4 linked regions of the Tamandua tetradactyla genome follow. The protein of the gene in region 4 interacts with the protein of the main gene of each other region in a pairwise test. Links are inferred from orthologs where the notes say so. Each region holds a gene or a part of one and is shown on either strand. Other genes may lie near its edges. The genes, in order: INPP5J, CDKN1A, CCDC146 and TRIM54.

Region 1 (7,390 bases), on a different chromosome or scaffold from region 4:
TAAGTCTGAAACCCCTTTCACAAATGGGGAAACTAAGACCCCCTAGAGGGGAAACAGATGAGGCAGAGTTATGAACCTAAACCCAAGGGCCTAAGCCCATGGCCTTCCTAGCCAGCACCCACTTTCTGCCCACCTTAGAATGTTGGGTGGCAGGAGCCAACCTCCCCGGGCAAACTCTTCCACTGCAGTCTCTGCTGCTCCCCTGGCTGAGGGCTGCTGACCTCACCCCAAGTGTGCCCACTCTGAATACACTGAGACCAGTCTGTTAAATAACCTTCCCTTCTTCTAGGACCTTTTGGGTCCCCTCCCACCCCCACCCAGATTTCCCAATCCCCTTGGCCACAGCCCTTTCTGCCCTACCCATCCAATTCCCAGAGCTCCATGCAGGAGCAAGAGCTTGCAGCTGGGACTGCCACACAGATTCCAAGCTGAGCTTCTGTGTGATCACAGGCAAGTCACTCTGTGCCCGGGGCCTCAGTTTCCCTCTCTGTAAAATGAAGGGGCTGAATGCAGGGCACCTGGTCACATTGTATCATAGAGAATGTTCATCCCATAGTCAGTGCATTTATAAGCCCAACACTCGCTAGGACTCCCCTGGGCCCCATGGAATCATCTGTTCTCAACGAGGATGAATCTAACATTCAGAGCAAGTTGGCCCTGGGATTGCCCCTCTTTGTGTGCTCAAGCTATTTCCCGCTCTTATCTCTCACCTTCTCCCCTACCTGTGAGGACAGACAAGCAGGTATCTTTTTATGTCTGGGAAGTGCTGGCGGTGGGGTGGTGTGGCGGAGAGTAGGGCCCTGAGGGACCTCCTCTCACCTCCCCATTCATCTCCTGTTTTGGATGTCCCCTGTCCCCAGAAGACAGGATGAAGCGTCCTTTCCCAGGGAGGGCAGAAGAAGGTCTGTACTCGCCCTGGAGTGGCCCTATCCCTGCCACCAGAGATGCAGTTCCAACTGTATCATGTGTCCTTCTTGGTTCAGAGAACCTGAAACTCTGCCTTCACCTCCCTCTTCAAACTCAGCTCACTAAAACTGCCTTTGGGCATCTTCTTGGGCTCCAAGTGCCCCACTGTGTGCTTTCCCCCACACTGCCACCTCCAGCACTAATAACTTAGACACCCCAGATGGCACAGTTTTAGCCTACGGGCATAAGCCCCCTCATTTTACAATGGCTCAGAGGAGACTAGCAACTTGCCCAAGGTCACACAGCAAAGCTGGAGCCCAGTTAGATCCCCCGATGCACGGTCCATAGATCTCCTGGAGGGTTCCGGAGATGGCTAACTCCATTTCTCTCTGGGTGTCCTGTCACTGTGCCCTCCTCCCACTAACCCCCAGGTTACTCTCTGCCCAGAACCTACCTGGTGGTCAGAGGAGAATATTAGTCCCCTAGCCAGCTGCACCTGGGTGCCAGTGCTAGGGGGTGGGTGGGGGTGGGCCCAGGGATGGGAACTGGGCGGGGGGGGGGGCGGTCTGGGATTTAGGGGTCTTACCTTGGAGGATGTCCCAGTTTGAGGAAGCCTATGGGGCACAGGCAGGGGACCCAGGCCAGCCCGGGTCCCTGGCCTCCTGCTGCCACTGCTGCTCTGGCCCTCCATGTCTGCAGCCCCTGGCAGCCCGGGCTCCCTCAGGCTCTGACTCCAGCTCCTCCGCTCCCCGGGAACCAGTGATGTCATCAGCCACTTCAACCTGCTGAGAATTTAAAGGCACAGGCACCCACTTCCCAACCTGGAGGTGGCCAGGGCCAGGTGGCTTCCCCCTTGGGAACCCCTCATGCTAGCTGCTCCTACTGGAAAGGCCTTGGAGGTGGGGTGGGCTAATTGGCCTGGCCCAAGTCTCACCTGGCAGCATGGAGGAGGCAGTCTGTCCCCACCCTCCCTCCTGGAGGCTTGCCCAGCCCTTGCTCCAGGGAGGGGCATTGACACACCTGCAGGTGAGGTAGGGACAGGAGGCTCCGAGGTTAGTACCCTCTCCAGGGCCTCAGAGAAACCTGACTCCTCGCCCTGAGTTCCTGCCAACTCAGGGTTTGCCTTGGCCCCCACCCTTGCCCCATTTTCAGGACTTGGTCCCCCCCCCCCACCTCTGCACCCTCCCTCCATGCCCCATCCTGGCTCTATCCCTCTTATTTCCCATTGCAGAGCCAGGCACTCAGGCTCCAGACACCAGAGCCCTTTCTCCTTTCAACCTCAGCAGCGCTGGCCTCTCCTTTTCTGCAGATATCTAGTCTCTATCCGGTGTCCTCATGGCCAGCCCTGTCCCAACCCAGTTCCTTTCGGCATTCTCCTTCCCAGTGCCCACTGGGCATGGTTTGGGAAGGGGAGACACAGGCCTGGGGAGGGAGCTGGTTTCGCTCAAGGTCACCCAGCAAACTAGAGAGGTCTCCCGAGTCCCAGAGAAGAAAGGAAGCTCCCTCAGTGACCCAAGACCAGCAAAAGCCAGTTGGAGTATCTGGGGAAAGGGAATTGGGGTGGAAAGGGGCCCTGCAGTGGGGGGATGAACTCATAGTTAGAACAAAAACAGACCTGGGAACTCTTCTGGCCAGGACGCCGCAGGGTCTCGAACCCAACAGGACCAGGGCAGTGTTGTTGAATGAATGAATGAATGAGGAAAGTGAGTCACTCAAGGGTCAGATTTGGTTAGGGATGTATGACTGTGGGACCTCCACACTATTCCTTCCTGCTAAGCAGCCTTGAAACCCCAATTCTTCCAGATTTGCTGGATGATTTAGAGAGGAGCAATCCCACCCAGCTTAGGCAAAAGAGGTCCAGAGTTTTGTGCATAAATGTTCCTGGTTGATCAACACTCACCCCTGCGTCCTCATGGGTCTGTGTGGTCCCCTTCACGAAAGGCATGGACAGATGTCTCATTTCCTGTCCTGGATAAACTTCCCACCTCTGTTTGAGGGTGTTAGTGTCTAGTCTGTGTGTCTGGGCCAGCATCTCTGTGAGGCTGGAATTTGCATGGGCAGAGACTCAGGCCATATTAGAAAGATTTGTGGACAGTGATGGTAGAGGTGATGACAGTGGTGACAAGGTGGTGGTGGCACTGGTGATGTAGGTAATTATGATGGGGGACGTGAGTTGTGGTGGAGATGGTGCTGGCAAAGGTGGAGGTGGTAGTTATGGCTCAGATGAGAGGAGATGCTAGAGATGATAATGAGGATAGGGAAATGGACATAGTGGAAGAGGGAGAGGTGATGGTGCTGGCAATGGTGGAGGTGACAAGAAGAACACAGACTATGGTGAAGGTAGAGGTGGTGGAAGGAAGGGGCGGAAGTAATAGTGTTGATGGTGGCGGCAGGCGAGGAGGTGAAAATGGACATGGTGCTGGTGCTAAGGCCACAAGAGACAGAAGGAACCTTTGAACTCAGCCATCCCCCATCTGACAGAGGAAGAGACTGAGGCCCCCAAGAAGACTGGACTTCTGATGCACTCTTGGGAGACAGATTCAGGTCCCTGAAACCAGACCCAGGGGCTCAGTCACCTGGGGCCGGTAGAGGGACATCAGTGTCCTTTAAAAGCAAGGCAAATCCCATGCAAGTGAGCATGAAAAGGGTGACAGGATTTTCCATCACCCTCCCCTCCCTGAGCTCAGACCCTGCAGGTGACCTTGTTTCAGGCCCTGCCACTGACTTACTTAGGCAAGTGACTCAGATTCCTATTTGTGTTGGGGAAATAAAAACAGCAAAGATTGCTGTGAAGACTAAACAAGATAATGCGTATGAGGTGGTTAGCACAGAGCCTGGCACAGGCAAACTCTCTGGAAAGGCAGCTGCTACTGTAAGTTCCTTCTCCTCATCACCATCACCATCATTATCCAGCCCGCCCATTTAATGGATGTCAAAACTGAGGCCCCAGAGCATTTGCATGTCTGGAAGGAAGAGGAAGGGGCTCTGAGACCCCAGGCCTGGCCTTGTCAGGGGAAGGGGGCGGGGGATGGACCCCAACTGAGCCGGGAGCGGGTAGGAGCTATGTTTTGAGTTCCTGGTGTGATGACTAAGCAGGTTGATAACAGGCTCTGGGGCTCAGGGCGGCAGGCTGGGGGCAGCTGCCAAGGAGAGCCGCCCCCCTGGAGACGGCTGTCTCCGGAGGCCCCTCCTGGCTCCCTCCTTCCCCTCATACCGAGGGGTGGGTGGTGGTGTGCCAAGGCAGAGGGTACAGCCCACCCGGCCCCTCCTGGAAGCTCTCAGTGCCACCCTCCGGACTTTTTGGGTCAAGGAAAGGAAGGGAGAGAGCTGGCGGTTGGTATAGATTATTTTAGCTACTCTCCGAAGTAACCCTGTGAGATTGGGAGAAAATTCCCCATGTGACAGAGAGAGAAGAAACCAGGGATTCCACAACCAGTAGCAGACAGAGCAGGGATTCCCAGGGGGGTCGTGGGTAATTCCACCCCCACCACTACCCCAGACAGAGAAGGTGACTGTTGAACCCCTTCTTTGAAGGAGAGCCCATGTTGCCAAATAGAAAAGAGGAGAAATGTCCCAGGAAACAGAGGGAGTAGCAGATGCAAAGATCAGGAGTGTGGAAGATTCCGGCTGTGAAGGGATGCGAAATTTGGATGCATACCCCCCTGGCCCTTTGGCTCAGAGTGCAAACACCATGAGCAGGGAATGGGAGAGAAATCTTCTTCCTTCCTCTTTCCTCCTTCCCAGGGGTGCCTGAATAGGCTAATGGCCCCTCTGACTTAAGCCCACCATGAGGAAGGTCAAGCTCAGGGGCCACCAGCTGGGAAATGTCTCGAGGCATACAGGATGGTACAGGGTACTGGGGGAAGATAGAAGAGGTAAGCAAAAGGGAAAGCTTCCCGAGGAGGAGGTATTCAGGGCATAGGGCAGCATTCTTCCTTCCAAGACCTCACCCGAGGGTTCCTTACTAGTAACAGGTACGATATATTTTGTCCCTGGCCCCTCATTTCCACCCTCTCGGTCAGGTATCATCCTCACTCCCCATTCTGTCCCCCAGGAAGTGGGTTCAAGGAGGAGTGACTTTCCCAAGGTCACACAGCTGGGGCCAAGCTCAAACATCCGTCCTCCCTCTTTTGAGCTCCCCCTCCTCCCAGGCAGCCCGCACCCGCTGTCAGCTGCTCTGAAGTGAGTGGCTATTTTTATTCTGGTGCGAGGGGATCTCGAGCAGCGGAGCCATGTAGGTTAGAAGGCTGTAGAACACCCAGCTTCGGCAGGCAAGGGGAGGCTTACTGCAGGGACGAGCATCTGATCTGTTTGGCTAGGGGGCTCTTGTTTCTTGCAGACAGACCTGCCCTGGGCTCCCATGTCTCCAGAAACTTCTTTACCAGGGATCAGAACAGAGCATGGAGTCAGACCAAGCCCTGGTCATGTCCTTGATTCTAGATCCCAACTGAGCCCTAATGCTGGGATTGATCGAGCCCTCTACCTCAGACCTAGATTGAGCTCTGACTGTGTGTGGCCTTCGAATGAGCCCTGACTCTAATCACCTCAGTCCAACTAAGGCTGATGACAGTTTGAGACCTCAATCTGGACCCAGTCTGAGCCCTGATCCCTGCCTAAGACTGAGCCCTAGTCACAGGGTGAACTCTAACCCCAGTACCTAAGCCCTGATCTCAGATTGAGACTGAGTTCCAACTCTCATCATTGACTGAGATCTGTCCCCAGACTGAGCCCTGACCCTCATTAACTGAACTCCAAGCCTGGTCACACGACTGAACCCTGACCCTGTGCCCTGAGCCCGGTCACTGACTGAGCCCTCGCCCTGGTCACAACTGAGCCTCGATCCTGGTTACAGACTATCCCTGGCCCAGTCATTGACTGAGCTCTGACGCCAGCCCCAGACTCAGTTCCAAACCTGGCCTGAGACTAAGGTCTAACCTTGACCTTGTCTGAGACTGACCCCATCGCAGACTAAGCCCCAACTCCAGCCCTACCAGAGGAAGGCTCTTGGCCAACATTACAGGCTGTCACAGAAGGGCGTGGATTACCAGCAGCGACCTGTCCTGGGACTCGTGTGGCTGCTGATGCCAGAATGTTCCCGGTACTGTAATGGCCACTGTCTCCACTGCCACTTCCACTGGCTGGTTAGTCAAACCCTCAGCAGCCCAGCCTGTGGCCCCTTTAGGCCACAGCATACTGGTTAATGCAATGAGAGTGGTTTGGTGGCATCCGTCCAGCGAACAGCATGGGTCCACAGGGCACTGAGGTTTGGCTCCATCAGCAGAAAAACCACAGGCTCCATGAGTCTCCAGCTTTGGCTATGTTGGGTCCTTGCTGGGGAGGAGGTGAGATAGAGGGAACCAGTGAGATATGTCCCATTATTATTATTATTATTATTATTATTTTTGCATGGGCAGGCACCGGGAATCGAACCCGAGTTTCCGGCATGGCAGGTGAGAACTCTGCCTGCTGAGCCACCGCGGTCCGCCCTGTCCCATTATTTTTGTAAACAAGTTTACTCTTTGTGTTTAGGTAAATACAGAAAATGCCGAAAAAAATTTCACCTATAATTTTGCCCATTAAGAACTGAACACTGTTGACTTTTTGGGTTGTTTCCCTCTAGATTTTTTCTTTCTAGGCAAATTTATTGATATGTACATATTTTATAAAATTGATTGGCTATTACATTGCCTCCACAACATCTGTTGAAACCTATTACCCTTTTTAACAGGAATTGGATTATAATGGACCCCGCTCAACAGCTTCAGGAATGGGCCTTGATTGGTTAAGCCAGTAAGCAATTCCCATCCCTTGATTGGATCATGGATGGACTAGTGAGATACAAGGAGATTTTTGCTAACAGCTTTCAATTTGTTTTCTCTTCTGAAGCTACCAAAAAAAAAAAAAACACACACACACAAAAAAGGTGACCTCCCCATGATGAGATGTGCATGAAAAAGCCTGTATGCAGCCCTGGTTACCGGTGGTAACCATCTTGACACAATGCAGGGAACTGGTCTAAGGATAAATTGATATTGTGCAAAAAAGAACAGAGAGAGCAAAGATCTTGGTGACTTCATCCACCAGACTGAAACTCATCTGAAGCCCTCCCTGCCCTTAGACAGTTTTTGCTGTTGTTGTTATTTGCGCCAACATATTCTCTTTATTGTTTAAGCCGGTTTAAATAGGGGTTTCTTTTGTGACTTGCAGCCTAGAACATCCCAAATCCAAACTGATATTTCTGTTTCATAGCATTGGCTTTTTCTTTTTTGTCGTTGTTGCTATTTTTTTTAATGTTAATATAATGTCTGCCTATTGATCCATACCATGTTACATCATTTTAACAGTTTAAACAATAGGTTTTCCATCCTATGGAGGCATCTTTTGTTATGTAGCTCATCCTCTGCTATAACACGCTTAGTTTGTTTCTCCAGTTTTCACCATGATAAACAGTGCTTCAATAAACAACCTGAACCAAGCAATTGGG
Region 2 (7,358 bases), on a different chromosome or scaffold from region 4:
CAGGCGAGAATTCTGCTACTGAGCCACCATTGCCTACCCTATTTATATATTTTCATGTGCCAGGGGAGGTTGTAAGCACTTTACAAATATTAATCCTCTTAGAAGGAAGGTAGATATTAGCTGTTTTTAAAGAAGAGGGAATCAAGGCTCAGAAGAGTTAAGCAATTTGCCAGGCCTGCCTGCCCTGGGTTCTGTGTTCTGTGCTGGCACCAACTCCCTCTCTTATTTTGAGGTTTCTTAATCAGAGATACCCATCAGCATCACTTGGGCAGCTTTTTCAAAATCCTCATTGAGAAGATAGGATTTAACAAATGAGTATGACTGCTGAACCAATATACTAATATTTCTTTTGGTCTCCAGTGTCTTGGAGCAGCTAGAAGAAAAAACGAAAAATCGTGGATCTGTAACCCATACCAAACTTTAAAATCTGTTCTATCACTACTTGTTAAAATGTACTTGGAAATTTATTACTTTTTTTGTATATATGTTATATTTCACACAACAAAAAAAGTTAAAATACACACACAAACATTGAGGGGTCCCCTGTCCCCAGACTAACTTCATGTAAATTAAAGGGGATTCAAGCAAGTGTTTGGTACTGCCCCGCAGGGGTGCACTCTTGGGGTGCCAGTCAAGGGGGGCACACTGGATGGCTGAAGCAGGCATTCTGAGTCTCAACAGGTCCTTTGGCACAAGGAGGAAGAGCCTGCCTAGGGCTTTACCAGGCAGCTGGACATCTCCTGGCTGCTAGGAGCTGAAAATGGGACGGGAATCAGGGCAGAGATCTTCTCTCTTACCACTCTTTCCTTTATGGCTCTCCTGGGCCTCTCTTCCCCCACCAAGCACCTGCTCTCAACCAACTCAGAGAAAAAACTCAGAAACACAAACCCTCAGATTTTACAAACAAGTAACAGAGTTCAGCCATATTTTAATTTCCCGGTAAACAGTAATCTCTTAGTAAATACTGTTGAACCAGTGGGGTACTCTTTTTAAGGGGTTAGAGTGGGGGAAAGGATCAGCGCAGCAACTGCGGCCGGGAAGGATTCCCGCAGCTGGATTCCGCGGGAAGACGGGTTGCTGTGCGCGCGGCGGCCGGGAGGGGGCACCGATCTCCAGGAAATCAATCAGGCGCGGGGTGGGAGGTGCGTGGGCCGAGCCTTGGAAGGTGGGAGGGAGAAGTTGTGATGAGTCAGTTTCCTGCAAAGCGCTCCCCGCCCGCCAAAACTCCGCTTCCACTCCGGCGGCGCGTCACCCCTGGGCTGGGAAAGGGGGAGAGCGCGGGGCGGGGCGGGGAGGCCAGGGCCGCGAACACGTCACGCTGAGCCGCCAGGCTTCCGAAACCCCCGCCGCTGTTGGGAAACAACCGCGCACTCTCGCGCCGTCTCTGTCACACACGCACGCACACACACACACACACACACACACACACTCGCGCCTGCACAAGCGCGCCGAGATCTGGCCCCTCCACCTTATCTCCACGCCCAAAGTACAGGATGAGTCAGATCCCTGGAAAATAAAAATAGACGGGAACAACGAAAACAAAACCGCTCGCGCGTCCTCCCCGAAACGCGACGTGGAGCGAGGGCGGCAGGAAGGGAGGTTGGGTGGGAGGGAGCTGCCTGGGCGCCCCAAAGTGCCAAATCCAGTACCGAGATTCTTTTCCACTCGTGTCCACCCGCCGCGGGACAGGGAGGCCTCCCAGTGACCCGCGCCGGGCGGCGGCACCCGAGGGGCGGGCGACTGGCTCTCCTGCTCGGCTCCGGCTGGTCGCCCTCGCACAGTGAGCTCTGGGCTAGGCCGGGGGCGCCCCGAGCCTCCCAGGGCGGCTGACACCGGCCCTAGACAGCTTTGGCGCCCCACACCGCTAAGATGCGACCCCTTCTCGTCTCCCATCCCGGCGTGGACCGCGTGCCCCACTGTCCCGGGGCGCCCGGCTCGGCTTGGACCCCAGAGTTCAGCGCCCCGGACCCTCCGGCAGGCTGGACGGGGTTCTCCCGGCGGCGGTGGGACCGATCCCTGCGCTTCTCCGACCGACAGAGAACGGCAGGAACCCGCCCAGATCCCGAGGGCGCGTCGCGGGGCGGGGGCTAGAAACCCGGTCCAGGACCTCCCGGTGTCCCGGCTTCCCTGGGAACACGCTGTACCAGCCAAGTGGGTCACTGTGCTGATGAACGGACAGACACCAGGGAGAGGCAGGGGTGGGGTCTTCTGGGGGCGCCACCGCCCCCCAGCCCGGGCGGGATTCTGACTTCATCCGGCCCGCTCCCCAGGGTCTTCTTGTCACCGTGAGTCACCTCCTCACTTGCCCTTAAGGGACGTGTCCTGGCACGTTCCCGAGGTCTAGGGACACAGCCCGCGCTGACCTCAGCGCTCAGCCGAGCGGCGAACACCGCGGCGTCGAGCTCCCGGACTTCGGGGGCCAGGGCCCTGGCGACACTGAGTGGACTGATTGGCCCAAGAGCCGTCCCGGGGCGGGGCCCACATGAACCTGCTTCGCTCCGCGTCCCCCGCCCCTTCGGGGACCTCCGGGAACCCGGCCTCATCCCCACGTCGCGAACGAGCGGGGTCCGGGGCGCCTCCCCAACGCGGAGAGTTCGAGGGCGGCCCCACCCACGCCTTCCCTCTCTTCAGCGGATTTTCGAGGGGAGGGGCGCCTGGCTGGGGATCCCCAGGACTCGTGCCCCCGCTCCGCCTAGAGTCTGGGACACATCCCGACCCTCATCATATGCGCACTTACAGCCATCCGTGCGCGCAAATCGAGTACTCACGGACCCACGCAAGTCATTCACCTGCCGCAAAAACACCTGTGAACACAGCACATACACACACACACACACACACACACACACACACACACACACAGCGGCTACGTTCAGCGCAGTGCTCCGGGCCAGGATGTGCTGTCGCCTGCCGCGGCTCCCTCACCTCGTCTGGGTGTCTGTGTCTCGATGAACTTGCACCGGAATCTGGATCTCCAGGCCACCGGCTCCCGCAGCCGCTCACACCTCAGCTGGCGCCGCCCGGAGCAGCCCTGATATAGCCCCTGCGCGGACACGCCTTAAAAGGCGGGACCGGCCGCTCGGCCCACCGCGCCGCCGGGGACCGCCCTCCCCAGGGGCCCGGGCGGCTCCGCGCCCGCGCCTGGCCCAGCTCCAGGTTCCTCGCCAGCAACTGGAGTCGGGGCCTCGTCGGCTGCAGAGGGCGCTTCCCCCCAACCCGCGCGCCTGGGCTTGCGAGCTTGACACATTTCTCCATGAATTTAGCCATAAGCCGGGCTTTTTCTGGTTTGGGAAGTGAGTGGGCTTTGGCCAGGAGAAGGCGGCATTGTTAGGATGAGACCCCTTTCCATTTCTGGCCCATTGCTGACCGATCTGGGCAAGGATTTACCTAACCCAGATTTATAAAAATTCTTAAAAAATAATAAAAATGATGCCCTTCACTTTGCAGTTCCCAGAAAAGTCTCACTACACCACCACTGATTCCACGGCACCTTGGGGTACCCAGACACCCCAGCAAAGTTTTGACGCCAGAGTGGAATTCAATCTCCTTTATTTTACAGATGAAGAAACAAGAGGCCCAGAGAACTAAAGGCTTGCAAAGTTGTTGCTTGCCAATCGCCTCAGGGAAAGAGGGAATTGGAGTTAATTCCATAAATCTCAGAAAGATCCAACCAGGTCTCCAGGAGAAATGGGACAGTGAACCAGCTTCCCCTTACCCCCCACCCCACCCCACCCACACACCTCACTCTCACCTCAGCAGAAGAAACCATTGTGGCTAGGTGGGGAAGAAGCATTGGTGAATGAGCTATCACCTGGATATTCCACAAAAACACACCCCACATTCACTGCTGAGGAAACTGAGGCTCAGAGAGTTTAAGTGACCTGGCTCAGGTCACACAGTGAATTAATGACTACGACAGCCCTTTTGCCTCCATTCCAGAGCTCTGCCTGCTGCCCCCTTTGCTTCAGTAGCTCTAGACCTCATTTCCAGGGGATTTATTGAAGTGACACTGATGAAGGACAATTCTGGAATTCTCCACTGGTGCTTCTGTCAGATATAGAAGTATGTGAGGGGTCCAGCTGCTCCCACCTAACCCCACACACCCAGCCCTCCTCACACCTTGCCTTTGCCTCTCTCACTCACTTCCAACATTTGCAGTTTCTGCTTTATTTTTTTATTTTTTGCAGAGAATAGAGTGTTAATCTGAACAGAAATCCCATTAAAAAAAAAAATAGAATCCATGCTTGGAGTGGCTACAATTACTGACATCTAGGGCTGTTGAGTGTCTGGAAATCTCTGCCCAGACATGCCCTGTCTTCTTCCTTTAATAAGGCTGACCTCAGGGAGGACAGGCCTTTTTCTCTACTGTGGGGCTGGGAGCACAGGTCCGGCTGGGAGAGCACAGTCCCAGACCCTCTCACCTGCCTGATCCTGGAGACAGGTCAGGATTGTACCTAAACCTCAGGAGGGCCCCAGAGATGTGAGACCTCAGGACCCACCCACACCACCCAAGGACTAAGTTTCCCAATGTCCAGCAGAGGACAGGCATATCCTCCTCCTGCCTTGAATCCCTTCTGCTTTTGGGCATTTCAAATAGACTTGACATTGTATGCCTGTTTATTTTGGAATTTTTTCCCCCTTTTAATGAAGGCTTGTATTGAATTATTTAAAGTTTTGTGGCACTGAGCTTCACAATGAAATAATTCTTTTTGTTGTTGTTGTTGGGAAATGATTTTTTTTTAATAACTCCTAGCTCCCCACCACCATTATAATGGAATGCAACAAATATTTATTAAGCATCTACTGAATGTCTAGTAACTGTTCAGTAGTTTAAAAATGTTTGCAACCATGCACTTGAATGTGTAGCCAGGCACACACTTCAAGGGGAAGAAAACTTCTCCCCTGAAGAGGGCAAAGGAGCAGGCTGGTAGAGGTCACAAGATCTAACTCCCACCACATACACACCCACACATACACTCAGCAGTGCCAGATCCCAGGCCTGCTCCAGGAAATCTGCTGTAAATCACATATTCTATTCAGAGAAACTCGGGCCTCCTGGAGAGAAGGAGGCCACGCTCTCCTTGGGGTCTCTGGGGGACCTCCTGTCTCCTACCACCCTCCTCCCTGCCCCAAAGTAGGCAGCCCCAAGGACAGAACAGCCACCAGCCTCTTCTATGCCAGGGCTCAACATGCTGGGACATGTTCCTGGAGGCCAGAGGACAGATGGAGCCACAGCCTGCTGCCAAGGCATGCTCTCCAGGAGGCAGGCTTAGAGACGGAGAGAGGGCTCAGCTTCGGAGACAGGAGAGTCCAGACCAGCATTTCTTCTGGGGCAGAGGAGCAGATAATGGAGAGGGAAGATGGAATGCCCAAGCCCGCGAAAGGAGGATGTGAGGAGGGCCCAACGGTGGCTGCAGGAGCTGCTAGGGAAGAGAGAGGAAGTGCTGGGATAATGTCACCATTTCTTAGAAGAGTCTCGGGGAGTCCCAACCAGGGACAGCCAGCTTTCAGAGGAATTCACCTCCACACAGGCTCCCAAGAAGTGAGGCCCAAGGGAAGAAGCAGAACAGAGATTTATTATATTACTGAGCAGAATAAGCCCTGTATTTTTTAAAAGAAAAATTAGACTGGGAGTCCACACTCTGACCTTATGGGGACTTTACACAGCCAGTGCAAGGGTCAGTACTGATCATACAGTGAGACACAAATATTTGTGGCAAAAGTTATACCACACAAACACTTCCAGCTTCCTAAGCCAACTGCCAAAGATTGAAATTTCACCATTAGAAATACATTCCTTTGGCTTAGATCTGTTCTTTGTTAAATAAGATCAGATAGACAAAGTGCTTATCATAGTGCTTGGCAAAGAAATCCCTTTATGAATATTAGTTATTATTATTCCTATAGTACAAACACTCCCAGGGAAGGCAACCCTTGGGGTTTAATAGTCATTTACACTTTAGTGATTGACTTAGGTAGGTTTCCCAGAAAACACACTCTGAGGTGGAGATTAGCATGCAGGAGGTTCATTGAAAAGTACATTCAGGATCAACAGCAGTTTGGGTGTACAAGAAACAGGATTGGGCAGAGAGAGAAACTGGGCTGTGATAGAGTCTAGAAGCTCTAATGAGGTTTAAGGTGATCCCACTGGGAGTTCTGGAGCTGGGATGCAATGCCTTCAACAGTCATTTAGAAGGCAGAAATGAGGGGCGGGGGTGGGGGTGCTTGATGCATGACTTTGTGCAAGGGAGCTCCCTTATCTGAGGACTATTCCTGAAGAAGGACTCAACTGTGAGCATCAGCAGCCAAAACTGCCAGCATCCAGTGGGGAAAATGTCTGGGTCCTGCGAGGGATTCTGGGTGGCACAGTGCAATGTCCACTACAGTGTGAATGAGTTGATCAGATCATTTAGGGATTAAAAGGAGGTGAGGAAGTACCGTGGTCATAGACCACTTAAGGAGCAAAGGGCTCTCTGTGTCTTCGCACATACCCTTCCCTCTTCCAGGGATGAGTTTCCCTAACCAACCTAGTCCCTCCATCCTCCCCACTGCCACCGCCACCACCCTCTCACTCAATGACCCACCCTAAGTGACTCCTTGGTGTTGAGGCCTTTTCAGGCCTCTCTCCAGTTCCCAGAGCTCCAGGAGAGCAAGCCTGTCCGCTGTGCATTGCTGGCCTGCTTTGTTTACGTGCCTGGTACATCCTCTGAGCTGCAAACGCAGAGATGTTGAGCCCATATTTTATTCATCTTTGTACCTTTGAGATCTGGCAGCTTCAGCTGGGAGCTCAGTGAATATTTATGGAAGGGCCATTTTTGGACTGCACTCTGAGATTAGACTTCAGTGCCCTTGTTTCTGAGGCTTCTCTTCTATTTATTCATTCATCTGTTCGTTTGTTCACTTAAAAAATAATGTAATTAATACCTGCTGCTCGACCCAAGAACTAGACCATTACAAATCACTGACATACCTTCCTTATGTGTTCCTGTTCTGTCCCTTCTTCCCCTACCTCAAAGTAAACAAATATCTTTAATCTTGTTTAACTTTCCATTGTTTTAAATAGTTTTATCATATGTAGCCAAGACAATAAAGCTCAACCATTTTTCTATGTGCTTTCCTACACTTCCCAGCCTTCCCACCCCCGTGCAGATAGGCAGGGCCAAATGACTAGTTCTGGCCAACATGAGCACATGTGACATTTGTCTCTTTAGGTTGAGGCCAAGAAAAACCCAGGTTTAATTCTCCAGTGTTTCTGTCCTCCACATCTGTTGCAAACCGGAAATCTCATGTCCCAGATAGTGCCACAAGATGGTGGAGCTTCCATCAGCCTGGGTCCTTCAATTGTATGAAACACCATG
Region 3 (7,140 bases), on a different chromosome or scaffold from region 4:
TCCCACCACTGTTATCAAGTTGTGTATTTCCCTAATTGTTTCTATGCAACATAGTTTTATATTAAACTTGTTGTTACAGAATTGGGTTCATATTATACATACAATTTGGTACTCTACTTCTTCCATTTAACCTTATGGAATATTTCCCATATCACTGAACAGTCTTCAAATACATAAATTTTAAATGGGTGGATAATATTCCAGATGTATACTAATTTATGTAATACCCTTTTGCTGGTTATTAAAATTGATCCAATTATCTACTATTATAAATAACACTGGAAAACAAATTCCTTGAACTTCTTTTTGGCACATCCTTAATTTCATGCATACTTTAAAACCCCAAAAGTACAATATCAAAATGCATATTTTAAGGATCTTGGTTATCATTGCTGAATGATCCTCTGGAAAGTTTATACTAATTTATATTCTCACAAGCAGTATATGCTCATGACCACAAGAACGATTTTTTCTTTAAACTGAAGAGTTTACAGATAAACTATATTCAAGGGGAAAATTAATATGAATTTCCACTCATGCCATGAATAACTTATTTTCTTCAACAGTGCCAGGAAGATAGAAGAACGTTTTGGTAGAGTGGAAAGAGGAACAAACCTTCTGTTCTTTAACCTTAATCTTTCTGAATCTGTTTCCTCATCTATAATGTGGGGATAATAATAGCTTTCTTGCTAAACATAGAGCGTTTGTGAGTAAACAATGAGATAATACATGTGAACCTGCTTTGAAAACTATAATGTTATACAGGCAGAATTTAGTATTTTTAAATGAAAGTTTGAGATATATTCACACAGCATAGAAACTATCCCAAGTGTACAATCAGTGGTTCACGGTATCATGACATGGTTAGGCACATAGCTGCAAGATCAAATTTTGAACATTTATTCCGGAAAAGAAATAAAATAAAAAAGAAAACTTTAATCCTCCCATACTACATATCCCCTCATATTATTGACCCATAGAGTTGGTTTGCTACATTTGTTACTGTTGATGAAAGAAGAGTAAAATATTACTGTTAACTACAGTTCATAGTTTGCGATTGGTACATTTTTCCCATATACCCCTCTATTATTAACTCCTTGTAATAGTGTCATACACCTGCTCTCGTTTGCAAACGAACTTTTTTATATTTGTACAGTTAACATGGACGTTGTCCATCATAAGATTCACTATTTTATATATTCCCATGTTTTAACCTCTAACTTTCCTTCTGATGACATACATGACTCTAAACTTCCCCTTTCCATCACACTCACACACCATTCAGCACTGTTAATTATGACAGAAGGTAGTATTTTTATTAGTTGTTATTAAAGTGTGTACAGGAATAAATGTAATAGACTTCATTAGTCTATTTTTAAAGTATCAATAACTTTTATTATTTTATATCAATCCTAATATCAATATTTTCCTCATTTCCCACCTCATTATCATAAAACTCTTCAAATTTATTTGTGCTTTTTATTAAAAAAGAGGAAGACAATGATTATGCCACGCAGACAACTTTAGTTGCCAATTCTATTAACGTGGATTTGTCTCAAAAAAGGAAATATTACCACAGAAAAAGAATTATCTACAAGGATTTGTATCCAATCTATGTATATCTGGCATTTCTTCGAAAAACTTGAGTACCTTTTCAACTTGTTTAAATCAGAGCCTAAAAATTTTGTTTTTAAAGTTATGCCCATGGATTTGCAAAAAAAGAAAAAAAGATTGAAGAAAACCAGTCTGAATATTTATGACACAATGAAACAAAGCCAAGGACAAAACTAGTGGGCATTTGTTAGCACCTATCATGTTCTCACTCAAGAAAGAATATGGAGGGAGAGAGGCCTATGAGGGCAGAATGAAGCGAAAGGATAGCTTATGAGAATACTGCCTTTTTACAAAGGTAATGGTCACCAAAGAACTCTGTGTCTTCGGCCCACGAGGATTTTAGCCCAGTTTTTCTGTCTCGTTATCACTACTGCTCCTAGTAATTTTGGTCATTGTACTTGACCAAGGGCTTTATTTTATTTTATTTTTTTAAGACATTCAGTTCCAGCTCTTGCATTTAAAAAACTGTCATGTGTCTTTGCTAAACAACTTGGGGGATAACTTGTAGGAAGAGGTAGGGACACAGAAAGAAAGAGACACAGGAAAGGGGGAAATAAATCTTTTCTTTTTAATTTTTTTATTGCACCAAAATTAATAAAAGGTAAAAGATAACTTATAGGCTCATTTAGTAAAGCCCTTTTATTTTAAAGTTGAAGAGACAGGTCCAAAGACAGAACAGCGTCAGAACCCGGAAGAGGATCTAGTCCCTAGTGTCCTGCACTTTCCACAGCACCACGTTGGCTCTCTCTTTTTAATATCTTACTTAGCATTAAAACTAAGGATAGCCAAATAAATCAAAGTTGCTGTGAAAACAAGTCGTAATCGCTCATATTTTTCTTTGTAACTTAAAAGTCAATGCTATTCTTAAAATAAAAATACAGTATATTACACTGCATTTTTGTAGACTATGCAACACGTTCACAACCATTACCTCATTTAATCCTTACAAAAACCCTTTGAGGTAAGGCAGGAAGGCTCTGTTGTCCTTATTTTAACCGTGAGCAAGTAAAACCCAGAGATATCCAATGACCGGCCTACGATCAACTAAAGTCAAGAAAAAGCCAGACTCTAACGCTATTCCTGTGTTTACTACCCGAGAGGGAGTTACCTCAAAAGCCTCCAATCGGCTTTTTATATCTAGCCAACACTCCGCACAAGTTGAGTGAAGTTTGGATCTAACCATCCAGACTGAATTCCTAGTTTGCTGCTAGTTCTCACCTTGAAAAGCGCAGCTTCTCCTTTCTTTGGTCCTGCTCCTTATTTAGGGTCTTATTTTTCTCTTTAGGTTCTAGCCTCCTGGTTCTCACTAGAAAGCTCCCCCTCTGTCCAAAGAAGTCGCGTCCTCGGTATCCAAGGAGACTACAGACACTTGCCGACCTTGCTCCTTCCGCACTTTTCATTGGCCAGTTGGATTTCCCATCTAGCTTCTTCCGGCCCCCTTCAATGGCCAATGGGTTTGAGGCAGCGAGTGTTGCTTTCAGAACCCAGTCAAGTACCCACCCAGATTCTCGAGTCTACGCTGAGCATTGCCTTCTGGGATATTTAGTTTCTATGCTGCCTAGTGCTCTTAGACATCTGAGATGGCTAGAACTACCTATCCCCTCGGCCTTAGCGAAAGGGGACTGGTGGCTGCTGAGTTCCGGTCTGCTTTGCTATTTCAGAGTGTTGAAATTCCATTTTGTCGCCGGGTGTTGTATGGTTGAGGTTTAAATCTGCTCACAAACGTGGGCGAGCTAGCTCTTGCTTCACAACCCTCGCAACTGTTTCCCCTTTGACTTGAGGCGGATCAGTGGTCACATCGACCGTGGCAGGTGACCTTCCCTGTGACTGAATCGATCTGAGGGAGCGCGAGAGGGGCACGCCATGTTCGGCCCCTGCACGAGTTGGGGGCGCTACGGCCTCTTGTTCCGACACCTCCGGGTGTGCGTCGGCGAGGCCGCCGGGCGCGGGGTGTGTCGGACCTGCCAGGCGAGGTCCTACAGCTCGCGTGGAGGGGAACACTGGCCGGAGTCGGAGCCCGAAGTCACTCTGCCTTGCTCCGCGCGCCGGACGCTGAAAGAATGGACGCTGCTGGTGAGCCCGTTCGGCCGACTGTGGGCGCGGCTTCCGTGCCACTTGGTCGTGAGACCTCTAGACCCTCTCACCTACCCGGACGCCGACCGCGTATTGGTCGCGGTGAGCGGCGTGGAGGGCGGGGTGAAGGACCTGGACGGCCTGCTGGTGAGGTACGACGAGGAGCAGAAGGAGATGACCATCGTGTCTGAGACCATAGACCCCCAGGCCTCCGTGGAGGTGAACGCGCCATTGAAGTTTGGCAAGTGAAGTTAAAACGTTTCGGGTCCCAGGGCACATTCAGGGGACATAGTAAATGCCGCCCTTTGGACCTGACATTCTATCCAGATTTTTAGTTGGCTCCTTGAGAAGCTGCCTCTTTTTTTTTCAGTTCTACTGAAAGTTGGGAATTATGTTCCTAGGTGTAGAAATTTTATAAATCGAATGATTACATGATTGGCTGAACTCAAGTCAAGCAACGTTTGTAAAGCCGCTTCTGGTCTCCTTTGACACTTATTCCAGTTTCTGTCATTACACTTTTGTCATCAGCAAGCAGGTTTATTTTTCATGGTTGAGGTTTCTTGATAATCTGTTCAATCGTATGGCAGTCCGTCCACATTTCTCCTTGATCACAGCCTTGGGGTTCTGCCCCAGGGACACCCCTCTCTATTAAAATCTCCATATCTAATCTAGGCAAAGTGTTTGGTTTTAAAATAGTGGCCTAACTACTTAGTGGCACATCACCATTCTTTTCGGCCTAGATAAATTCTCCAAGAGTAGCAGGGCTTTGAAGATAAACGCCTGGTAAGGCTGCTTGGGAAACATCAATTGATTATGTCCATAGGATATGTTTCCTAGGTATTTGGGTTCCGTGTTACTTTCCTTAGTGCAATCCATGTGTACGCAACACTTCTAGGAAGGTCTTTCCAGGCTGATGATGATGGTACTGATGGTGATCATAATAAGAGCAGCCAACATTTCTAGGATAATCTTTCTTACACTGTAAATACCTATTGTTTCCATTTTCAGAAATACAGATTAAGATACAGCCAGCTTCATAAAGCAAATTTTTATTGTGAGTAAACAGAAAAAAATTCATACCTTCATGGAATTTACCTTCTAATGCTCAAATATAAACTGATGGTTAAGCTGGGATATGAACTGACTCCAGAATCCTTGCTTTAGTTTCCTTGTTCATTGGTGAAGCAAATGTTATACAATGGGTTAGTTTAAAGAACAGGAATTTATCAGCTCACAGTTTTGAGGCTTGGAGATACTCAAATCAAGGTGATGCTTTTTTCCAGAAGACCAGTGTTTTTTAGGGCTGGCTGTCAGTGATCCTTGATCCTTGGCTCCTCTGTCACATAGCAGTTCGTATACAGTCTCTGCTGGCCTCTCCCTTCTCTTCCAGGTTCTGAGGTCTGTTGACTTGTAGCTTCTTATTTCTTATGGCTTTCTTTCTATTTGTCCGAATTTCTTGCATTGTATAAAGGACTCCACTATTAGGAATAAGACCTGTCTTGATTGAGTTGGGCCATACTGTAATTGAAGCAAACTCATGAAAATGTCCTACTTATAATGGAGTCACATCCACAGGAATAGATTAAGCTTAATAACGTGTTTTTTGTTTTTGATTTTTTTTTTTTTTTTTGGAGTGCAATATCCCAAACCATCACACTGCTCAACCACTAACACTTTATTGCATCCCAACTTTTAATTAGCCTAGGTGAATAAGAGACCTTACCATTAACAATGTAACAATCTGGGGTTGGGAGGGAGATTTGCCAATGATTATTATAGCACAAAATAGACTGCATATTGAAATAGGCCTAAGCAAGATTTTATGGAAACACATGAAATTGGATACTATGTATGATGGTGTTCTCAAACCTTATAATTTGTTGTTTCCTCTTTTAGAGCCAGAACCCCATTTCCAACGAACTATTTCCATGTGTTTATTACGTGGGCACCTCAAATCAACATTACTCTGTTTTCTTCATGCTACCTGTTCCCCCAGTTTGTTACCTGCTTCAGTGTGAATGGGTGAGAGTAGCATTACTACCACTCACTGTCTCTCCTTAATTTCTCTCTACCTTTCTACCCTGTGTCTTTATAATCAGATTATACAGAGATGCATAAGTTGACAGCCAAGGATGGCATCTGTGACTCCTTATTTTCCAAAGTCACTTCAGATACTGTGGTTATTTACCCATAACCGTGTAGTTTAAATGTTATTTTTCAGCATTTTTTCCCATTTGGAAAATTACTTAAAATATCTTCTGATATAACTGCATGGACATATCATTAGTTTTGGTATGGAAGATTAGAGAGAGAATTTGAAATCCTGATTGATTATTTGTGTGACTAACCCATGCTAATCCAGGAACAAATCTTTAAATCTTCCTGAATATAAGAGAGAATCAGCTGACTTATCTGATTTGTCGTAATGGCTTGTTAACTTGCTTTATTCTTGCTCGAATGCCTATGTGTGTTTTTTCAGTGGGGGAGAAGTTTCCATAATCTTAATCAGGAGTGTCTACATTAACTGTAGTCTCCTGTCTTCTTTATTTTCCATCTATGTTACTTTCTTCTCTGCACACCAGAAGTGCCAGGATATCCTTTGTAGTATATAAGTGTTATTAAATGATTAAAATAAATTGTGAATAGGAAATATTGGAACCTATCTTTTTAGATGATATAGGTTAACAAAAATAACTGTTCTAGTCTAAACACTGATAGAAGACCAGTACATTTGATCTTGTTGCCATGGGGGAGACCCTTTAACTTTAGAGAGAGTTGACAATTATGCTCTCTCCACAATTCGGTAATACTGTGAACATAACCTTTTTGTTTTCTTTTTTTAACTTTTTTATTGTATAGTATAACATATACAAAGCAAAGAAATTAAAAAGCGATAGTTTTCAAAGCACTCTTCAGCAAGTAGTTACAGGACAGATCTCAGAGTTTGTCATGGGCTACCGTACGATCCTCTCAGATTTTTTTCCCTGCTAGGTTCTCCAGTATATAGGAGGCTAGAAGGCTTAAATATTTTTTATCATCACAATTGACTTTTTTTTTCTTTTTTTGTGAAAAATAACATATATACAAAGTATCAATTAATTTCAAAGCATAGCACCACAATTAGTTGTAGAGCATATTTCAGAGTTTGACATGGGTGACAATTCCACAATTTTAGGTTTTTACCTCTAGCTACTTTAAGATACTGGAGACTAAAAGAAATATCAGTTTGATGATTCAGCGTTCATATTCATTTGTTAAATCCTGTCTTCATTATTTAACTCCACCATCACCCTTGATCTTTCTGTCATTTGTTTGGGGTGTTTGGGCTATGGCCATTCTAAATTTTTCATATTGGAAGCATCTGTCACTAATCTGGGGTAAGGAGATGGAACTATCTGATGTTCTAGGGAGGCTGGGCCCTCTAGGTTTCAGGGCTTACCTGGACCAGGGACC
Region 4 (6,964 bases):
CACCACCACCACCACCACACCCTCTGCTCCTGCAACTGGGGCTGTGTGGGCTGGTGGGTGCCTCCCACTGGGCTCTTAGTTTGGGAAATAGAAAGAGCGAGAGGAATAGAAGAGGCCAGGATCCAGGAAGAGCCTCACATGATCTGTATCCCAGGGCCAGGGAAGTCCCACGTGGAGAGCTGACAAGGACCTCACAGGTGCTTTCAACCAGACTTCAACCGGAATGACCCACTTGTCATGGAAACAAGGGAAACTATCTCAAATCTCAGGGGAGCCCTCCTGCCATGATCTGCACATGTCCCCGGGGTGGATAATTCATCAGCTACTGTGGGTAGATATTCTGAGCCAACGTAACCATATCAAAGCACCCAGGGTAAATCCCTCCCCACTCCCCCACTCCCCCGCTCCCCCACCTCTGCGCTTTCCCCACCCCCGTCTGTAACCCATTCTCTCATCTCCAAACTGAAGAGGTTGAAGAGGTGGGTAGGTGGCTGGTTTCTGTTTTCCCTTTCTGGCCTGGATGGGTTCCCTGGCTGTGTCCCAGGCCCCAGGCCTTGGAGAGGCGGGAACCCCTGACAGCTCACCGGGAGGACTCCTGCTTGTAAATGTCAATGATGTTCTCCACCAGCAGATTCCTCTGCAGGCCATAGACCCCATGTCGGTCCAGCACGACCTCGTGCCTGCAGGAAGGGCAGCGGAAACGGCCTCCCGAGGACACAGTGGAGGAGCCCCGGGACTGCCACAGGGGGTTGGAGGCCTGCGGGGGAGGCAGCACGAGGCATCAGGGAATTGGGGGGAGGCTGGAGGAGAGGCCAAGGGCCTGCAGCAGGAGGGGAAGGGTGGAGGGGCAGGCATCAGCCTGTTTACACAGCTGGGGCTTCCTCTGGGAGCAACAAAGTGTGGGTGGCCATAGACATCGTGTTTCCCACTCTGCCTCACTACTCAGCTCTAGCTCCTTGAGTGTCTGTGTGTCCAGAGCTTAGCTGTGGCCAAGGCGTAGAAGGTGCATACCCCAGAACAAACATGTCCTTCATCTTAGCCCGTTCCTATGGGTGGGAAGCCATTGCCAAGGCCTTTTGAAGATGCTATTTTGGTTAAGGGGTGGTCAACGGATGAGGTTCGGCCTTCGCCCTCTTCCTGGAGGCTTTATGAAGAGGAAGCCATGTGAAGGAGTAGATGTGGAAGGCAACAGAACCCAGAAGAGAAAGGAGAGGACATGCCATGTGACAGGACAGCCAAGGACCCCGAGGATTGCCAGCCAGCCAGAATGCTACCAAACCTGAGAGGAAGCAAGGCTTCTGGCCTCTGAAACTGTGAGCCAATAAATTCCTGTTGTTTAAGCCAGCCCACTGTGTGGCATTTGTTGTAGCAGCTGTGAAATTAAGACAGCCTTGTTGGGATGGGATTTCTCCAAAGGGGCCTGGCATGGAGCTATAGGGAGAAACTGGCCTGGATAGGAGAGCTAAGATAAGAAATGGACCCTGAGTGGGTTCTCTGCAGAACTGAGTGGGAGCACAAGCAGAGGTCCGGCTGAACCAGCTGGGTGATTCTGGGAAATGCTTCCAGGGGCTGGGAGTCCAGGAGTCCTGGGCTCTGGTGCTGTCCCTGACACTGTTTCACGATGTGAACTTGGGCAAGCATTCAACCTCTCTAAAGGACTAGAATGGAGTATTCATTCTATTGTAAATATTGACTGAGTATGCCAGGTAATTGCTAGGTCCCAGGAGATAAAGATATGAACAAAATGCATATCCCTGTCCTAAGGACAAGCAAACAGAAAACTGCCTCTTGCAGGATGGGTGTCATGACAAGGGTAAGCTCCGAAGGAGGATGTACCACAGATGCTCATCGCTTCTTCCCATGTACACCCTCTTCTTAGAGCACTTGCTCCCTCCCATCCTAAAAGGGAGAGCCCTGCCTAGGACTACCTATTCCTGGCCACAGGTGATGGTCTCAGAGTTGAGAGGGTGATCAACTGAGCCAAGCAAGGCCAGATATTCTCTCCTAGGAATCTGGATTTGAGACATAGAGGCTGAAGTGGCTTGAGCAAGTGCAGCTCTGGAAAAGGCCTATGGAGTTGGGCTAAGAGCTGACATTATGACCACCCAAATGGAAGTAGACGGTGTGGGGGGCAGAAGCTATGAGCCTTAGAGAGAAGGCAGGTCTGCAGAGAAGAGAAAAGAGCCAATATGTAGAGAGAAGCCAGGAGGAAAAATAGGCAGAGACTGCTTGTCATTCCTTGATCTCCACCCCCTCACCCCACTTTCTTCTTCAATAATAGAGTCCTTGAATTTTAGCAAGACACATGACTGCCTGGAATAAAGACCATGCATCTAAGCCTCTTTTCTCGTTAGATGTTGCCATGTTGCTATCTCCCGGCCATTTGGTATAGGCAGAAGTGCTTTGTGCAAGTATCTTTAATGGAAATGCACACACCCTACTCCTGCCCTTTTCTCCTTCCTGCTGGCTGGAATGAATGTGGGATGGCTGGAGATGAAGCAGCTGTCTTGAACCATGAGATGGTACCACATGCCGAGAAGGGCAGCAAGATAAAAGGAGCAGACCTCTGATGAGCATGGTGTCACAGCAGCAGTCCTGGTCTGCCTGCCCATACTTACACTTGAGAGAAAACACTAATTCTTACCTTCTTTCAGCCAGTTTGGGATTTTCTGTCACAGCAGAACCTAATCCTAACACCCAGAAGATCCTGTACACTTAGATTGTAATGGAGAAAGTAATCACCTGTGACTTTCCATATTTAGATGTGTTTCCTGCAATTAGGTTAAATGAAATTCTCCAAATTCTTATGATCACTCCTCTTTCTTTAAGCATACGTGAGCAGTTTTCTGATTCTTGAAATCCAATGTGCCCTGAATCAGAAAAAAAGGCTATTCTGTCACACAGGTTGCTTTTGGCTGCAAAAGTGGGCTGGAAACAAACCACAGCACAACTTCCTTCCATGCAACAAGTGGTGGTGGAAAGGGTATCAGTGGGTATGACCAACTCCTGGCTGATATCCCCCCAGCCTCATCTTCTCCCACTCTAAGAAGAATGGGTTTCTCTCAGCCAATCTGAAAATTTTGAAAATTTCTGAGGAGACTCTGATTGGCCCAGCTTGGGGCAGATGCTCAGACTTTGGACCAACTGCTGAGACCTATGGAGCAAAGTAATATGATTGGCCCTGCTGGGTCATGTGTTCCCCTTTCAAAAGTGGGGCTTGGCTGTTTGTATATAGCATGCTCGTTCCCAGAAACTTCGGGTATCTATATGACACCTGAGACTCAGAGTTAAAACCCTGAAGCTATGAAAGTCAGCAGTACCCCATGCAAGAACTGTTTAAAAAGTTGAAAAAGTGATCAGTCTTTGAGTAGAGATATGAATGAAGAAATCTGGATAGGACTGTGGTAGATCAGAATACAGGGTAAAGGATGATATCATCCATTATTTAAAACTTCAACTTCTGTGTGAGACCAAAGGGAATGATGTTTATTGCGTGAAAAATCTATATTTTGGGTAGTGCATTTCTTAATTTAACTTCCTATGTTCAGTTTAGTTGAACACTAAGTACATGGAATCATGGATAGGGTGTGAGGTTTTGTTGACTTGCTCAGGTTAATGTGATGCCCCGATAAATCCCAGAGTGGTTCGGCAGTGAATAAAGAAGTATTTGCAAAGTCCCCTTGCGTAGTTGGGGGGAAGAAAGGAGGAAATATTCAACTTCCCCACTTGGAGAATTTCTGATATATGCGCAAGCAGTGGGGACAACCAAATCAATAGGTTAGGCCTTGATCTTGGGGTTCACCCCTATGAAACTTATTCCTGCAAAGGATAGGCTAAACTTACTTAAAATGAGGCCAAATTCCCTAATATAACTTATGTAGACAGCTTAATTGAACACCATAAGTACATGGAATCTTGAGTAGGGCATGAGATGTTGTTGGTTTGTCCAGAGTGATGCCCTGATAAATCCCACAGTGATCTGAACAGTGAATAAAAAAGTATTTGCAAAGTCCCCTTCAGGGAATGGTGAGAAAGTGGGAAAATTCAACTTCCCCAAGTTGAATTTTTTTTTCATATTCTCACAAGCAGTGCAGACAACCAAAGCCATAAGCTAAGCCCCCAATCTTGGGGTTTGTTCATATGAAACTTAACCCCACAAAGGATAGGTCAAGGTTAATTAAAATTAGGCCTAAGAGTCACCCCCAAGAGAACCTCTTTTGTTGCTCACATGTGGCCTTCCTCTCCAGCCAACGCAACAAGCAAACTCACTGCCCTCCCCCTGTCTATGTGGGACATGACTCCCAGGGGTGTGGACCTTCCTGGCAACGTGGGACAGAAATCCTAGAATGAGTTGGACTCAGCCTCAAGGGATTGAGAAAAGCTTCTCAACCAAAAGGGGGAAGAGCGAAATGAGACAAAATAAAGTGTCAATGGCTGAGAGATTCCAAACAGAGTCGAGAGGTTATTTTGGAAGTTACTCTTACACATTAAATAGATATCACCTTGTTAGTCAAGATGTAATGGTGAGGCTGGAGGGAACTGCCTGAAAGTGTAGAGCTGTGTTCCAGTAGCCGTGTTTCTGGAAGATGATTGAATAATGATATAGCTTTCACAGTGTGACTGTGTGATTGTGAAAACCTGTGTCTGATCCGTCTTTTATCTACCTTATCAACAGATGAGTAAAACATATGGGATAAAAATAAATAATAGGGGGAACAAATGTTAAAATAAATTTAGTAGATTGAAATGCTAGTGATCAATGAAAGGGAGGGGTAAGGGGTATGGTATGCATGAATTTTTTTCTGTTGTCTTTTTATTTCTTTTTCTGAATTGATGCAAATGTTCTAAGAAATGATCATGATGATGAATGTGAAAAAAAAATAAACTAAGGCCTAATAGTCACCACCCAAGAACCTCTTTTGTTCCTCAGATGTGTCCTCTCTCTCTAAGCCAACTTGGCAGGTGAACTCACTGCCTTCCCCTCTCTATGTGGGACATGACTCCCTGGGGTGTAAATCTCCCTGGCAATGAGGGACAGAACTTCCAGGATGAGCCGGGACCCAGAATCAAGGGATTGAGAAAGCCTTCTTGACCAAAAGGGGGAAGAGAGAAATGAGACATAATAAAGTTTCAGTGGCTGAGAGATTTCAAACAGGATTGAGAGGTTATCCTGGAGGTTTTTCTTATGCATTATATAGATATCCTTTTTTAGTTTATGGTGTATTGGAGTGGCTGGAGGGAAGTACTGGAAAGTGTTGAGTTGTGTTCCAGTAGCCTTGATTCTTGAAGATGATCATATAAAGATGTAGCTTTTACAGTGTGACTGTGTGGTTGTGAGAACCTTGTGTCTGATGCCTCTTTTATCCAGGGTATGGACAGATTTTAAAAAAAGTATAAATAAATAATAGGGAGGAGAAAGGGTAAAAGAAATTGGATAGATGGAAATACTATTGGTCAGTGATGGGGAGGGGTAAGGGTGTGGTATGTATGAGTTATTTTCCTTTTTCTTTTTCTGGAGTGATGCAAATGTTCTAAAAAATTATCATCATGATGAATACACAACTGTGTGATGATATTGTGAGCCACCTGATTGTACACCATGTATGGACTGTATGTGTGTAAAGATTTCTCAATAAAAATATATTAAAAAAAAAAATTGAGGCTCGAGTCAAAGACAGCAGCTCCCACCAGGGAAGGGAGAAGAGCACAGCTCCAAAAGAAGGGCATGGGTTTGGGCACAGCCTCTGAAGGGAATGGTGGAGAACCAGGCAGCCACCCAAAGACCTGTTGTAGGCACCTAACTGAGCAGTTAAGGGGGGAGGGAAGTTTGGGGATTAGTAATGTCTCTGCTAATTCTGAAGGATGACTAAGGGTGAGCCCGGTAAAGGGACAGGGAAGGAGGAAAGAGTGTGTCAGGTCAAAGGAAGGGGGTCAGCAAAAGCCTACAAGTGAATCTGGATTGGCCATGTCCGGAGGACTGAGCGGTGCTGGGTGCTGGCGGGAGCGTGTAGGCAGTGGAATGGGGAAGGAGAGCGCCTGAGGGCCTGGTGTACCTCTCTCCAGAGTCTGGACTCTGCTCGTAGGGGCATGAGAAGCCATTTAGGAGCTTTAAGCAGAAGGAATGATGTAATCGAGTATCCATTTTAGAAAAGTTATGTGAGGAGGATACACTGAAGGTAGGTGAGAGCCAGGGAGCTCCGTTAGGAGGAGGACACTGCAGTGACCAAAGAGGAGCTGGTTGTCCAAACCCAGGCAGTGGAAAAAGGCGTGAGGCTAGCAGTCAAGAGATGAAGATACTAGTCACCGTTTCTCCATCTTTAAAAGAGGCTATTGGTCTCTGCTTTATCTACAGCCCAGGTTTCTCATTGAGAAGAGTAGATGGGAGAATGCTGGGATACCCCCTTGTAAACTATAAAGCACTAAACTATACAAATGTGAGGTCCCTGACATTCGCCGCCTAGGACCCCACTATGGGGAAGGGTGGAAGAGATGCTGAGACCCACCAAAGTGAAAGATGGAGGGTTGCCTTGGGGCAGGGGTGTACCTGCGCGAAGGTGTGGAGAAGGCATTTTGGAGACCAGAACAGTCTAACCAAAACTATAATAGAATTCATATAGGAAAACCATCTACTAACAACTAGAGGAGTCTTATGTATGTTTCCTTAAAAGAATCTGAACATTTAAAAGCCACAACACATTTGTTGTACAGTAATACAAATTTCTTTGTCATTATTATAAAACTTTAATTTTCATATACTTGATTTGGTATTATCAACCCATCCTATAGACTTCATATAATGGCCTTAAAAAGAATCATGAGGGGTGCATGGATGGCTCGGTGGTAGAATGCTCACCTGTCATGCAGGAGACCCAGGTTTGAGTCCTGTGCCATTCACATACCCCCACCCCACCCCTCCCTCCAAAAAAAGCATGAACTATTTTTGTTCTAGAGAATTAGGTTGTTT

What was found.
Region 1: the proteins of TRIM54 (region 4) and INPP5J interact in binary tests that used the Homo sapiens proteins (3 or more experiments, as listed by UniProt). The two-hybrid records come from large-scale screens. The link is inferred for Tamandua tetradactyla from reciprocal best matches to the Homo sapiens genes TRIM54 and INPP5J.
Region 2: the proteins of TRIM54 (region 4) and CDKN1A interact in binary tests that used the Homo sapiens proteins (3 or more experiments, as listed by UniProt). The two-hybrid records come from large-scale screens. The link is inferred for Tamandua tetradactyla from reciprocal best matches to the Homo sapiens genes TRIM54 and CDKN1A.
Region 3: the proteins of TRIM54 (region 4) and CCDC146 interact in binary tests that used the Homo sapiens proteins (3 or more experiments, as listed by UniProt). The two-hybrid records come from large-scale screens. The link is inferred for Tamandua tetradactyla from reciprocal best matches to the Homo sapiens genes TRIM54 and CCDC146.

Annotation. Positions count from the first base shown.
Region 1 is NC_135331.1:31,638,130-31,645,519, forward strand, and holds the start of INPP5J (phosphatidylinositol 4,5-bisphosphate 5-phosphatase A), read right to left. Parts: upstream 3,022-7,390; 5' UTR 2,939-3,021; coding exon 2,807-2,938; intron 1,927-2,806; coding exon 1,841-1,926; intron 1,692-1,840; coding exon 1,493-1,691; intron 932-1,492; exon of another isoform or gene 723-931; intron 1-722. UniProt on the Homo sapiens protein: Inositol 5-phosphatase, which converts inositol 1,4,5-trisphosphate to inositol 1,4-bisphosphate.
Region 2 is NC_135331.1:93,465,032-93,472,389, reverse strand, and holds the start of CDKN1A (cyclin-dependent kinase inhibitor 1), read right to left. Parts: upstream 3,018-7,358; 5' UTR 2,926-3,017; intron 1-2,925. UniProt on the Homo sapiens protein: Plays an important role in controlling cell cycle progression and DNA damage-induced G2 arrest. Involved in p53/TP53 mediated inhibition of cellular proliferation in response to DNA damage.
Region 3 is NC_135327.1:140,927,117-140,934,256, forward strand, and holds the start of CCDC146 (coiled-coil domain-containing protein 146), read right to left. Parts: upstream 3,006-7,140; 5' UTR 2,833-3,005; intron 1-2,832. Other genes in the region: protein FAM185A, read left to right, coding at 3,478-3,928. UniProt on the Homo sapiens protein: Essential for sperm flagellum biogenesis and male fertility.
Region 4 is NC_135329.1:11,235,698-11,242,661, reverse strand, and holds the start of TRIM54 (tripartite motif-containing protein 54), read right to left. Parts: upstream 3,007-6,964; 5' UTR 2,962-3,006; coding exon 2,743-2,961; intron 758-2,742; coding exon 585-757; intron 1-584. UniProt on the Homo sapiens protein: May bind and stabilize microtubules during myotubes formation.